2 linked regions of the Saccharomyces cerevisiae S288C genome follow. The protein of the gene in region 1 purifies or fractionates together with the protein of each later gene. This does not show direct contact. Each region holds a gene or a part of one and is shown in the gene's direction. Other genes may lie near its edges.

What was found. The genes of interacting proteins can lie anywhere in the genome.
Region 2: the proteins of LRP1 (region 1) and CSL4 purify together in Saccharomyces cerevisiae (affinity purification with mass spectrometry; 5 studies listed by BioGRID). This does not show direct contact.

The regions. Positions count from the first base shown.
Region 1 is NC_001140.6:263,055-270,222, forward strand, and holds LRP1 (Lrp1p), read left to right. Parts: upstream 1-4,483; coding exon 4,484-5,038; downstream 5,039-7,168. Other genes in the region: LAM4 (Lam4p), read right to left, coding at 1-3,784; putative serine/threonine protein kinase KSP1, read right to left, coding at 5,405-7,168. UniProt on the Saccharomyces cerevisiae protein: Required for exosome-dependent processing of pre-rRNA and small nucleolar RNA (snRNA) precursors. Involved in processing of 35S pre-rRNA at the A0, A1 and A2 sites. Required for activity of RRP6 in 7S pre-rRNA processing.
Region 2 is NC_001146.8:210,817-216,544, forward strand, and holds CSL4 (exosome non-catalytic core subunit CSL4), read left to right. Parts: upstream 1-4,106; coding exon 4,107-4,985; downstream 4,986-5,728. Other genes in the region: YNL234W (uncharacterized protein), read left to right, coding at 1-697; BNI4 (Bni4p), read left to right, coding at 1,106-3,784; PDR16 (phosphatidylinositol transporter), read right to left, coding at 5,171-5,728.

The DNA.
Region 1 (7,168 bases):
ATATGGCGTTTTCATATGAGTTATACAGTGTGCCGAAACTGGGCACGTAATTATATTCTTGACCATCAATCAGCAGCCTTCCTGGCTTGATGATTTGAAGATTATTTTTTTCTTGAAACACGTGAAGCCGAGGAGACCAGAAAAGCATAATGGTCAACCCCAAGATCAAGAATAGTTTTTGAGGACTCAGCAATTTGTTCATAAAAATTTCTGAACTAAAATTATTCTGAACGAAATCCAAAATATGAGTTAAAATGTCTTTATTATCATCGCTCTTACGGCTTTCGGAACTTTTCTGTTCAACCTTACTATGGAAAGGCCTATGTTTATCATGACTCTTCATTACTTTCTTCACCGGTTTTTTGCTTTTTGCCCTGCTAATAATGTCTCTTAACTCGGATAGCATGTAATCGACAGAAACCTTCTGACCCTCAACAGATCCTTTCTCAATTGCACCTTTCAAAAATGATTTACTTGTCCAGTTGATTTTTGTTATAACGGTCATATTCGTGGTGTCATGCTGCCCCCAGAATAGAAAGATTTTACTTTCTACTGCAAAATTGCTACCAGAGGGGACGTCTGGAGTTTTAGTTGTTTGTGTCACCAAAACATAGTTATTGATATCCATGTGTTCAATAGACTCGGTTAGTAAACATTTTGTTTGCTTAGGTCCGATAGAATTGTTCAATTTCTTCGTGTACTCATAGTGTCTTGAACCTCCTTCAACCAACGAAGGCGTGAATTTTGGTATCGTTTCCACATTGACATTATTCTTATCTCTAGTGATAACTTTCTGCATATACTCTGTATTCGATCCAAATAGCAATTGGACCACGGTCCCTAATGGAGCTGGTATATTCTCATTTTCCCTTATAATAGAGTCATCCTTATCCTTTTGAATATCAGGCTCGGTAGGTGCATGTGAGCTAGGTTCCATTTTCGGTAAAGTTGATACTGTAACAGTGTTCTCCTTCGAAGACCTTTTCCTTTTGGTAGCAGATCTTGTTAAAATATTACCAAGCTCCTCCACCAATATCTTTGTTGCATCCGTTACACCATCAAATGTACCCTTTTCAATAGGACTTTTGATCAAGCTTTTACCTGTCCATTCAACAGAGACATACAGTTTTAGTTTTGTTTCATTGTTGTTTGCCCATGATAAAAGATAAACTGTTCTCACATAAAATGAATTTCCAGAAGGAACATCCGGAGTTTTTGTTGTTTGCAAGACTTGAACATACTCCTCTAAGTTAAAGTGTTGAATGGTTTCAGTTATCATGCATTTAGTTTTACCGGGTCCAATGGCACCTGGTGTTGTTTTTACGTAGGAATAATCTCTCTTTTTACCTTCAGAAACCGTGGGTGAATCAACGAGAACAGGGATTGGCGAAATATCACTATTCTTTTGCGCTTTTAAAATGGCCATAATATAACTGACATCTTTCCCGAATAATATATTGACAACCCGCCCTAACGAAGCGTGTATTGTTGATTCGTTAACTAATTTTTCATTGGGCGCTGGTTTGTATACTGTTTCTGTGGGTGAGTGAATTTTTGGACCTAGTGGTGGAATTCCTGTTCCATAAGGGGTGTCTGTTTGTAGAGGCATGGGTAAATCTTCCGGCTTTCCTATGCTGACGCTTGATGTCATGTCGGTAGAATCAGATATGTTATTGCTATTATCGTAAAGATCGTCATCATCATCTCCATAATCATCGTAATCATCATCGTAATCGTCATTTTCATCATCACTGATAGAATTGGAGCTGCTATTAGTGTTATTACTGTTGCTACGAAACCTCTTTCCCAAAATTATTTGATTCCATACTTCAGTAATTAAATCATATGTAGCATCTCTTGAAGTGAAAGAGGCAAACGTGTATTTTGTGTGTAAAGTGTCTATAACGATCCCATTAGGGAATATTCCTGCTGTGGCCCTTTTCTCTATTTGAACGATTGTCTTGAACGGTATAAAAACGGTACTTACCCAACCAAGGATGTTCGAATAAAATCCAATATGTTGATCAGAAATATACATTCTGCCTTGCAAAAGGATATCTCTTGACAAAGCACAACTATGGTCTAAAATCAACCTTTCATTGGGGCTGACACCAGAGTCCTTGAATATTGCATGGAATTCTGCATCTTTCTTTTCGCTCGCGTATTCGACTCCCTTTATTCTAATGCTGGATTGTCTACCATTTTCCTCCGATGGCTCAATGATATTTACGGGGGTAGATGAAAAGCTTTTACTAGAACTTCTCCTCAATCCCGAAGATGGACGACCGTTGGACATACTAGGTCTCGGTATGATGGTCGATGCAATATCAGTGCTGTTTTTTACTTTGTTTAGCGAATATTTCAGTGCCGTCGAAGGTAGTACTTTCATTCCCATGCTAATGCTTCCGGGGGAAAATGACCTCCTGTTAAGAAACTTCTTGGACATTTCCCTAGGTTCGCGGTCTTCATACTCCGGGTCGTTATTCGTTAGGCCATTAGAGGAGTTGAAGGACAATCTTTTTTTACAATCTTGTAAAACGTCGCTACTGGTGTTTTGTTTATCTGCCATTGCGCTAATCATTGATTTGGCTCTTCTTCTAGGCTTGACTCCATCTGTTGTAGAGGAACTGACTACTGACCATTTGGAAGGAACAGTTTTTCTTTCCAAATTACTTTGTTGTACCGGGCCTCTGCTGTCAAGGTGATCCGCCTCTGGCAGCGATTCTGCTGACATTGCCTCTAACCCTTCAAGAGTAGCTTGAGAATCATCGAAGTGCTCTAATTTTAAGTTTCCAACTCCGGGGGTAGGCTTATCATGAGAGTGCCTGATGGGTTCGAAAACCACTTTCCTGGCCATATCATCCGTCATCTTTCTAGTGTCATCTAATGATGTATCATCTCCTGAGATAGCATTAGAGCTTGAATGTGAGTTCGAGTGAATATGGCCTTTCAAATTTCCAAATGCCAATCTAGATAATGATGATGGTTTACTTTTACTTCCTGCTTCCGTTGTATTAAGCTGTTGGTTACTTGGAGTTGATGATTTGGATGCTGCAAGAATATTGTCTAAATTTTTCAAAAATGGGCCATCGCTTTCTTTTGTCGATGAAGTGTTTTTATTGTTAGTGCTATTTTCGGAAAGGGCTCCTGATATATTAGATGAGTTTTTTTTCCTGTCCTTTGGTTCATTCCTGGAAATTGTTCCATTGTCAGCGTCTTGTACGTTTATTTTGGGAATGTGGCTTACGGCATTATGGGCGAAGGAAAGAAACGTTTCAAAGGCGGTATGTTCATCATGGCCGTCTGGAGTTTTTTCCTCAGCTTGATTGCTGGACCCTTCTCGTTTCCCACTTTGCAGTTTTTCCTTTTCTAATGCCTGGACGGATAAACTTGGTACAGAATTTGAATTCGAGTTACCATCCTGAAAGCGACCCTTCAATGAACCTGCCGTCAAATTCGTGTTTGTCTTTTCAAGCCTGTTTGTTTCCATGGGATCTATAACGATTGGAATATTGAATACACCTTGGCTATGCGCTAAGGAAGATGCCGCCGCCTTTTGAGATCCTTTTGCAGGAGATTCCGTGAAAGTTTCGGGCTTAAGTAAAGACGGAATATCCGGATTTCCTCCTACTCTTCTGAATCGCTCAGCACTGGCTGTTGTGCTAACATTCTCTCCTGTAGTATTATTTAAAAAATTACGATCCTTCTTGTGCTTACGTTTGACTCCAATTGTCCTTAAAAAGGCAGTGCCCCAATGGTGCTTCTTTTTTGAATCTCTAGTCATTACTGTATATTTTCAACACTATCCATGGAGAGTAAGAACCACACACAGTAGCAATAATTTAATATCAATGGCAATAGCAACGAAATTACAGTAGATACCGTGAGCCAGCAGAAACAGATTGATATTTCGTATTTCAAGAAGGCAGAATCATTCAACCACCTACCGTCCCCCAGGAGGACAGATCCCAACGAGGGACCTTTGCGCCCAATTCTACTCCTGCAAGGGTTTCACTTAGAAATGCTTTTGCCAAGGTAAAGGACCCCTAAGACTAGAATGAACTACGCCGGTCCGTCCGGCCGTCATACTCCGTGGAAATTTACTTCTAAAAGGAGAAACAGCGATCTTTGCCGCATAAAGCCAGCCACTACTGGCGTGGAAAGATTTTTAGATTAGAAGACAATACAAAGCGGCAACGTCATAACCTTGGTATTTATTGGGCAAGCATTTTCATATCAGCGTACATACACCAGCAATGGGAATGTAAAGAAGAGTCGTTACTAGCATATTTTCTATTCATGCGGGTACCCAACATGTCACGTTTCACGAATTCTCGTGCAGTTTTTCAGCGATGAGCTAAGGCAGATGGTTATGGACTGTGCCTTCTGTAGTCTGTGGAAGAAAAAACTGGTTAACAGCCTACAGTAGAAATCGATTAATATAAACATATATCTAGCAACGTAACGGAGTATTAGATCAGTAATGGAAGATATCGAAAAGATAAAACCATACGTTAGGAGTTTTTCAAAGGCGTTAGACGAGCTGAAACCAGAAATAGAGAAACTAACGTCGAAGTCACTGGATGAACAGCTGTTGCTATTATCTGATGAGAGGGCTAAATTAGAACTAATTAATCGTTACGCGTATGTATTGAGTTCTCTGATGTTTGCTAATATGAAAGTCCTAGGCGTCAAAGATATGTCTCCTATACTCGGCGAACTGAAAAGAGTAAAATCATACATGGATAAGGCTAAACAATACGATAATAGGATAACCAAATCCAACGAAAAATCGCAGGCAGAGCAAGAAAAAGCTAAGAATATCATTTCCAATGTTTTGGACGGTAATAAAAACCAATTCGAGCCCTCTATAAGCAGGAGCAACTTTCAAGGGAAGCATACGAAATTTGAAAACGATGAACTGGCAGAGAGTACAACGACTAAGATTATTGACAGTACCGATCATATAAGGAAAGCAAGTAGTAAGAAAAGTAAAAGATTGGATAAAGTTGGAAAAAAGAAAGGAGGGAAGAAGTAGAGGTCGACGTATACTGGTACATGAGTGAAAAAATGATTAAAGGTGATGTGAGAGCACAAATGCAAAAATGCTTATAGGGTTTATATACTTTTATAATAACAATAAGAACTCGTTGAAGTAACTAATATGTGTATATGCTATTCTTGTAGTTGGCAGTGAACACTTTTGTGTGAATTGACGTTATATAAGACTGTAGAAATATCTAAGAAAAGAGAGTTTTCATAAAACCCTTCAAGCTTAACTACCAAAAAGCATTCATACTTAGAAGTTGAAATGCACGATGATGCCAAATTGATGAAAAAAGCTAAAAATGCATTTCAGAAGGGAAGAAAATAATAAGCAACATAACAGAGGGAATAGGTGCGCTTAGTCTTGTTGCTGTAAAATTAACCAATTATTCTTGTATTGTTCTAACGATCCGACCATTTCATCCTGAATACTTGTCTTCCTGCCAGCTCCTAATTTTTTATCGTGAGTGGAGCCAGCGAAAGTTTGAGCATAAATTTCATAAGGACCGAAAATTTGCCTTTCATCCGGGGAGGTTGACGAGGATTCGTTGTCACCACCTTCCATTTTGCCATGTGCCATCTTGTCACTTTCTCCTTCGTATTCTTCGTCTTCGAAAATTATGGCGTCATTGTTAGAGTCTGCGAATACGTCTTCATTTTGCAACGCAATCGTAGTGCTTGAATGATTACGAGGTAATAAAGGTTTAGGGAAGCCAACGAAGGAGCTTTTAGCTCCTGGTGAAGAGGACAACTTCTCGAGTGCTTTATTCATATGCAGTGGGTTAGATTCATTAGCACTGGAACGCCTGGAATTGTAAGATCCACCAAAATTAACAGAATTATGCGAAACTGACAACGTGGCCTCGTTACTTGTCTTCATATTCATAGGAGGTACCTGTGTTCCCAAGTTGAAACTCTTCCTATGATGAGGTGGAACATAAACCCCATTTTTAAATTTTTGTTCCATACTGAGTCTACGCTCCTGCTCTAGCTCCTTAGAGTCAGATGAGTGTGAATATCGATTGCCAATATTACCTGTTAAAATTGGATCAATTGGTCCAGAAGATAAATTTAAATGTGCTTCAGATGATGCTGGTGATTTTAGTAAATCTGGTAGTTCATTAGATTCATTATTGTTATTGTTGATATGCAATGATGTTGTCAAAGGAGGTGGAATATATTGTCTATGATATTGATTAGTGGTACTATTGGTGTCGATATGGTTGTTGTTGCCATTGTTATTGTGATTAGTGCTTGCGTGAACAAATACTTCATTATGGCTACCTACCGTTGTATGCGGTAAGTGATCATTTATAGATAAGTTGTCCATACCATTGACGAAATCATGATCACCTTCTTCAAGAGTGAATAAAACGTCGTCTGAATCGTGATCGCCCTCAGAATCCATACTATCCTGAGTGTAGTGTTCCTGGTATGAAGGCTTCCCACCTAAAACGGTAGAGATATCAGGAGCAGTTGATTGCGGAACTCTTAAAAACTGATTCGTTGGGCTTACGTGATGGTTCCTGGCATTTGGTGGAATATAAGCGCCTGGTGAATGTTGAACTGTAGTCGTAGAACCACGCCTTGCATAACCATTTATAGAACTATTGTTGTTATGATTATAGCTCATGTTGTACCTTGAAAGTGGTGACTTACCGGTATAACTGGAGGAACTTGGTCTTCTGTATTTGTTAAAGTTTTTGTTCCAACCCTTTATATAGCTATTACCATTGTTAAAATTATTATAATTACTTCCATGATTGTTATTGCTGTTGTTGTTATTATTGTTGTAATTACGATTCTGTCTGTACTGTTTATTGTTGTTGTTGGAAAACCCCTCCATATACCTGTGCTGGACACTTGGAGGAGTGAAAAAATCTCTGGTGTTGAATTCATCCCTTGCTTTGTAATCGTGGAAAAAATTATTCATGTGTGTATTAGGCGTTGGTATGCCAAGAGGCTTCCTTGATTTTTTCAAAATTTTACTTTTCTTTCTATCTTCGATATTGACTGGTTTGGAAAATTGATTATCAGTTCTTCCGTACTTATTGCGCTTCTTAAATTTGAACTTAGGAGCAGATTTAGCCCTTTCATGAGTAGATAGTGTTGTATTATAACC
Region 2 (5,728 bases), on another chromosome or scaffold:
GATTGCAATGGATCCCTTGTTAGAAGAATATTTTCCATCATTAAAACATCAAGCAGTTTCGTTCTGTAAGGTCCTTGATTCTGCTATTGACAACCTTGAAAACGTTCATGTCCTAGATGATTATATTGTGAAATTAGGAAAACGCCATTCCAGAATTCTCGGCATCAAAACCGTTGGTTTCGAAGTAATGGGAAAAGCATTTATGACTACATTGCAGGACAGGTTTGGATCTTTTCTCACACTGGAACTCAAAAATCTATGGGGACAACTTTACTCATATTTGGCAAATTGTATGATTACTGCAGGGAAGGACCCAATGGAAAAGATTCAACCAGATTTTTCGTATAATGGTGACTCTGTGGTTTTAAATTTTTCCATTCCCAAACTTGCGATGCATGATATAAGTACAGTTAACAAGCTACAAATGGTGAAAACTAAAAACGCTACTATACCTCATAATATAACACAAGTACCGACAAATAAAATTCCTACAGAAATACTCTTAGACAATTCTTCTACTCCAATAAAAAGCGACCGTGAATCGACGCCTCCAATCTCACCAAAGGGCTCTGGAAGTACAAAACCAAGCATCGGTAGCAGTACCGTCGTGGAAAGTAATACCAAGAAAAATAATTATGATGAAAAAATCCATTTATTGCAAAAAACTGCTCAGCAGAAGAACTGCTCGATTATGTAACTACAACCGTACCATTAAGTGTATAAGTTTCCCAGGTTATATTATATATTCTTTAGATCACTGCCTGTTCTTTATTACCCGCGAGCTAATCTTTGTCTTATATAGGCGCGTCAGCGGAGACGCGTCAAGTCAACTTCTCTCTTCTATCGTCCCGAGTATGAAAAATCATTTCAGATTCGAAGAAATCAGATTGGCTTTATATCTTCTTTAGAACAAGACGTGTAATATTCTCACACTTAGAGTTGACCCCCTCAAGTTCGCTTATTAGTACAGGTTTTGACTTTGCAAATAAACAACAGGAAAAGCGACTCAAATAAATTGACAAAGAAATCTCAACAACCAGAGTGCAAAAGCCGTACGAGCAGCGTTTTTATTAATAACGATATATCACTACGTATTCAACAGAATATGTCGGATAGTATTTCAGATTCAAAGTCCTCAGAACTTTTAAATTCTACTTTTTATTCGTCGACGTCGATAAATACACTTGATCATGCTAGAACCTTTCGAAATTCTCTGATATTGAAGGAGATATCAGATCAAAGTCTAAATTCATCAATAAAGCCATGCGAATCCGTCCTTGATAGGGATGTTGAAAGCTCAGTTCTGCAGCGGTCGTTTGGAGAAAGTAATGCCCGAGACTCAGAAGTACAAACGGTAAATATGACAACTTCCCCCTCATTAAGTGCATTGGCTGATATTCTGAACGAAAGATCCAAATATGCTGACCAAAAAACTAGAAAGGCACAAAATATTGAGTCTTCCATAATAGAAGAAGAAGAAGAGGCCGAAGAGCAAAACAACTCGATCAATTATCACGAGGATATAACTGGATCCAGGCTGTCTGTACGAGAGGAAGCAAATGAAAACTTGGCGATGACCTCTCCAAACCTTATTGACATTGACGGATCCAATAGTATTCAAGTTGCCCCTTTGAGTTTACCGTCTTTCGAAGAACCTGACTTTTTGTCCACTCCTAGAGTAAAACCTGATTCTCAGGGACCTCGGAGCAAAGTTAGTACACGACGTACTATTCTCGAACGAGACAACAATTTACCAGTTAAGCGGGAGGAAAATACTATCATTAATTCAGAAACTGAAAGCACAACACATAGCGCACCATTTTTAAAAGAGGATCCGAAACCCTCGCCTCCTTCGAGTAAATTATACAACCCAAAAGTTCGTTTAAACAAAGCAGAAGCGCGAAAGTATACTGATTCTTCTGCCCAAAGGACTACTTCAGCAGGCTCGGTACTTGAAGACACTTCTATGCATAAAAAGAAAAAGAGTATATTTTCATTTCTGAAGAAGAAAGAACCGAAACCAGTTATTGGTAATAATAGTGTAACGAATGAAAAAAATAAGATGTCTTCATCGAGCACTTTCTCAATGAATATTCAAACCTCTTTAAAAACGCCTGAAAAACTAAAGAAGAAGTCTCACAGTAGCAGTAGCATTTTCAATTCCTTCCTAAAGGGAAAAATTGAAACATCAGACTCACCTCGAAAGGAACCAATGAGGCAAAAAAAAAGAACCCCAAAATCCAAGGACAAAAAGCAAGATACTGAACAAATAATTGACGCCGCATCAGTGTTATCCACTGAATCACCTCTACTACGAAAAAACCACGACGATACTCCCGTGAAAATAGATCACGTAACGAGATCAATTGATCAGAGAAAACCTACTCCTTTAAACATGGATCTCATATTGGGAGGTGATAAACAGATAAATACCCCGCTACAAGAACACGTAAGAGAAGATGATGATGCCAAAAATGATCTTCAATTACCAACCAAGGATAATTTTTTATCACTGGACTACGAAGCACCCTCACCAGCATTTTCCAAACACGATACAGGTGAGGTTCTTTTCCCAAAATTTTTGGATAATCATGAAGTCGACTCGATCGTTTCTTTAGAAAGAACAAGATCTACAAAGTCTAACAAGAGAAGTTCAATGAACTCGCAAAGAAGGTCATTGACAGATACGCTATCGATCAAAGCGCAAAGTGAGGGAATGTTCATCACTGAGGCATCTTCTGTTGTATTATCTACTCCAGACTTGACGAAGTCTCCTGCTAGCAGCATTTTAAAGAATGGAAGGTTCGAATACTCAGATAATTTCTCCAGAGAACACTCTTACGAAGGTACCACGAATGAGGACTTTTTAGATATCAAGGACGATAGTGGTCCACTAAAAAAAGATGACATATTTTTAGAGTCTATTGAACAAAAATTTGACCAGCTAGTGATGGCCTCTGATGAAGAAAAAACTGAAGTTGAAAGGGATGTACCAAAACCAAGAGAAGAACCTCTGAAGAAGGATTCTGAAAGGCAAAGCGTTTTTGCAGATGATGATAACGAGTTAATTTCTGATATAATGGAGTTTGCAAGTTTTATTAACTTCGGTGATGATGATCTCAATCTAGACCTAGACTTGGGAGATACAACGGCCTCATATGCAACAGAAACCCCTGAACCTGTTGGAAATGATGAAGTAAATCGCTCTGGTACTTTTGATACACGAAATAACAAAGAGGATAGTTACAAAGAAAGAGAAACTCAATCTTATTCCGCTGCTGGAGCTACTACATACGGAGATGAGCGTCAAGGTCAATTACATACATTTGAACAAGACGGAAGTGAAATAAATGACAACGAATTTGAGAATGAAGATTTCAACAAACACATAGAACAGCCCATAGAAGTTACTCCAAGAAATAATGCATATTTACCAGAATTCGAACCCAATAGACCTGTTTCAATGTCCTTTAAAGGACTAAAAGCCCCAAGAATGAATACTTCTTTTATTGACTCCATGACGCCTGATTCTCCCGTAAAATCAGACTTAACAAGTCTAGGTGAGGTGTATGTAAACAGTAATAATGACCAGGGTGTCCGGTTTTCGTCCCAGATAATACTTTACGACACTTATGGAGAATTCGAATATGATAGACATCCAGAAATTTCCACTTGTAACCAGCTTACTCCACAACTGGCTCAAATGATCAAATTGGAATTAAATGAGTTAAAGAGCGCAATGGAAGTACACGATGATTCGCGATGTTACACACATTTTTATTAGAGCAGAAAACTGGGAGAAATGGAAATGAATCAAATCATACATATCAAGACATTCTAGTTTTTATAAACCTATAATTTATCGCAAGAATCTTGGGTGTTATGTGTTGTATTTGCGGCATCATTTCAAAATACCGTCTGCATTACCCGTCTCCGTCACGTGAAGTAAAAATTTCCAAAAAATATTGAAAAAAGAAAGAAAAATAAGATCCAGAATTCACTGATGATGAGCTTATGGTACGGCATGATTAACTACGCATTTGTATATTAAAGATTCTTTGATTTTTTCCAGAGCATTGAATACCTCAATCTATAAGTGTATTATAATGGCATGCAATTTTCAGTTTCCAGAAATAGCTTATCCAGGTAAACTAATATGCCCACAGTACGGTACGGAAAATAAAGATGGCGAAGATATAATTTTCAATTATGTGCCCGGTCCCGGAACTAAACTAATTCAATATGAACACAACGGACGAACTTTAGAAGCTATAACTGCTACACTAGTTGGGACAGTGAGGTGTGAGGAAGAAAAAAAAACTGATCAGGAAGAAGAGCGTGAAGGCACTGATCAATCTACAGAGGAAGAAAAATCAGTAGATGCATCACCTAATGATGTCACAAGAAGAACTGTAAAAAATATTCTGGTTTCAGTGCTTCCTGGGACAGAAAAGGGTCGTAAAACCAACAAATATGCTAATAATGATTTTGCCAATAACCTACCGAAGGAAGGTGATATTGTGCTGACCAGGGTGACAAGGCTTTCGTTGCAACGAGCCAATGTCGAAATTTTAGCTGTGGAAGATAAACCATCTCCAATTGATAGTGGCATCGGCAGTAATGGATCGGGAATAGTCGCTGCTGGTGGCGGTTCTGGAGCAGCTACGTTCTCTGTTTCTCAAGCATCATCAGATTTAGGTGAGACATTCAGAGGTATAATCAGGTCTCAGGATGTACGGTCTACAGACAGAGATCGTGTGAAAGTGATAGAATGTTTCAAGCCGGGAGATATTGTTAGGGCGCAAGTTTTATCATTAGGTGACGGAACCAACTACTATTTGACCACTGCAAGGAATGACCTTGGGGTCGTGTTCGCCAGAGCTGCTAATGGTGCTGGTGGATTGATGTATGCTACAGACTGGCAAATGATGACTTCACCGGTTACAGGCGCTACAGAAAAGCGCAAATGTGCCAAACCTTTTTGATATGTAACAGCTTATCTACAGTGCATATAGACGCGTATATATTTAAAAGAGGGTATTCGCTTCTTCTTCTTTAGATTGCATTCTTTGATGGTTAGGAAAAAGAAGCGGGAACGTGATTAAACTTTTTATTCTCTTTTATTTATTATATATTATAGTGCATTATCATTATCTATCTAAATTTGCCTTTACACGGTACTGCTTTCCGATTTTACTGGGTAAAGAAGTTTTTCATGAGTACCTCTTAAATCAACCTCACTTAAACCTACAATACCACCGAAGCTTTGAAACCTCTTAAAATAATGATCTCTTTTTTCACGCGCGGTTTCCACCAGAGCTGGCCAATAAACATCATGATTGTACTTGAATTTCAGATCACCACCATACAACGAATCTAGTTCGTTCTTAGGGACATATTTAACAAATGGTTCATCAAAAACTAGCTTTTCACGGGTCAGTGGGTCAATAAAAGGGTGAATTAACTTCAAGAAAGTCCATGCTAACCAAGGAATATTCGTCAAAAGTGCTTTTCCTAGTCTTTCTGGATAATGAGTTTGTAGAATATGCAGCACTTCTTTCCCTACACCAATAGGTGGGATTTTACTATTGCCAGGTACTTTAGGAACATCAGGGTAATCTTTAAAGTCTATTAGCAAAGCTAGAGAGTCTTGACCAGCTGGCATAAAATCGATAACTCTTTCCAACATGAAGACCAAGTGCTGTACCTGTCTGTGAGAAGTCTTTGT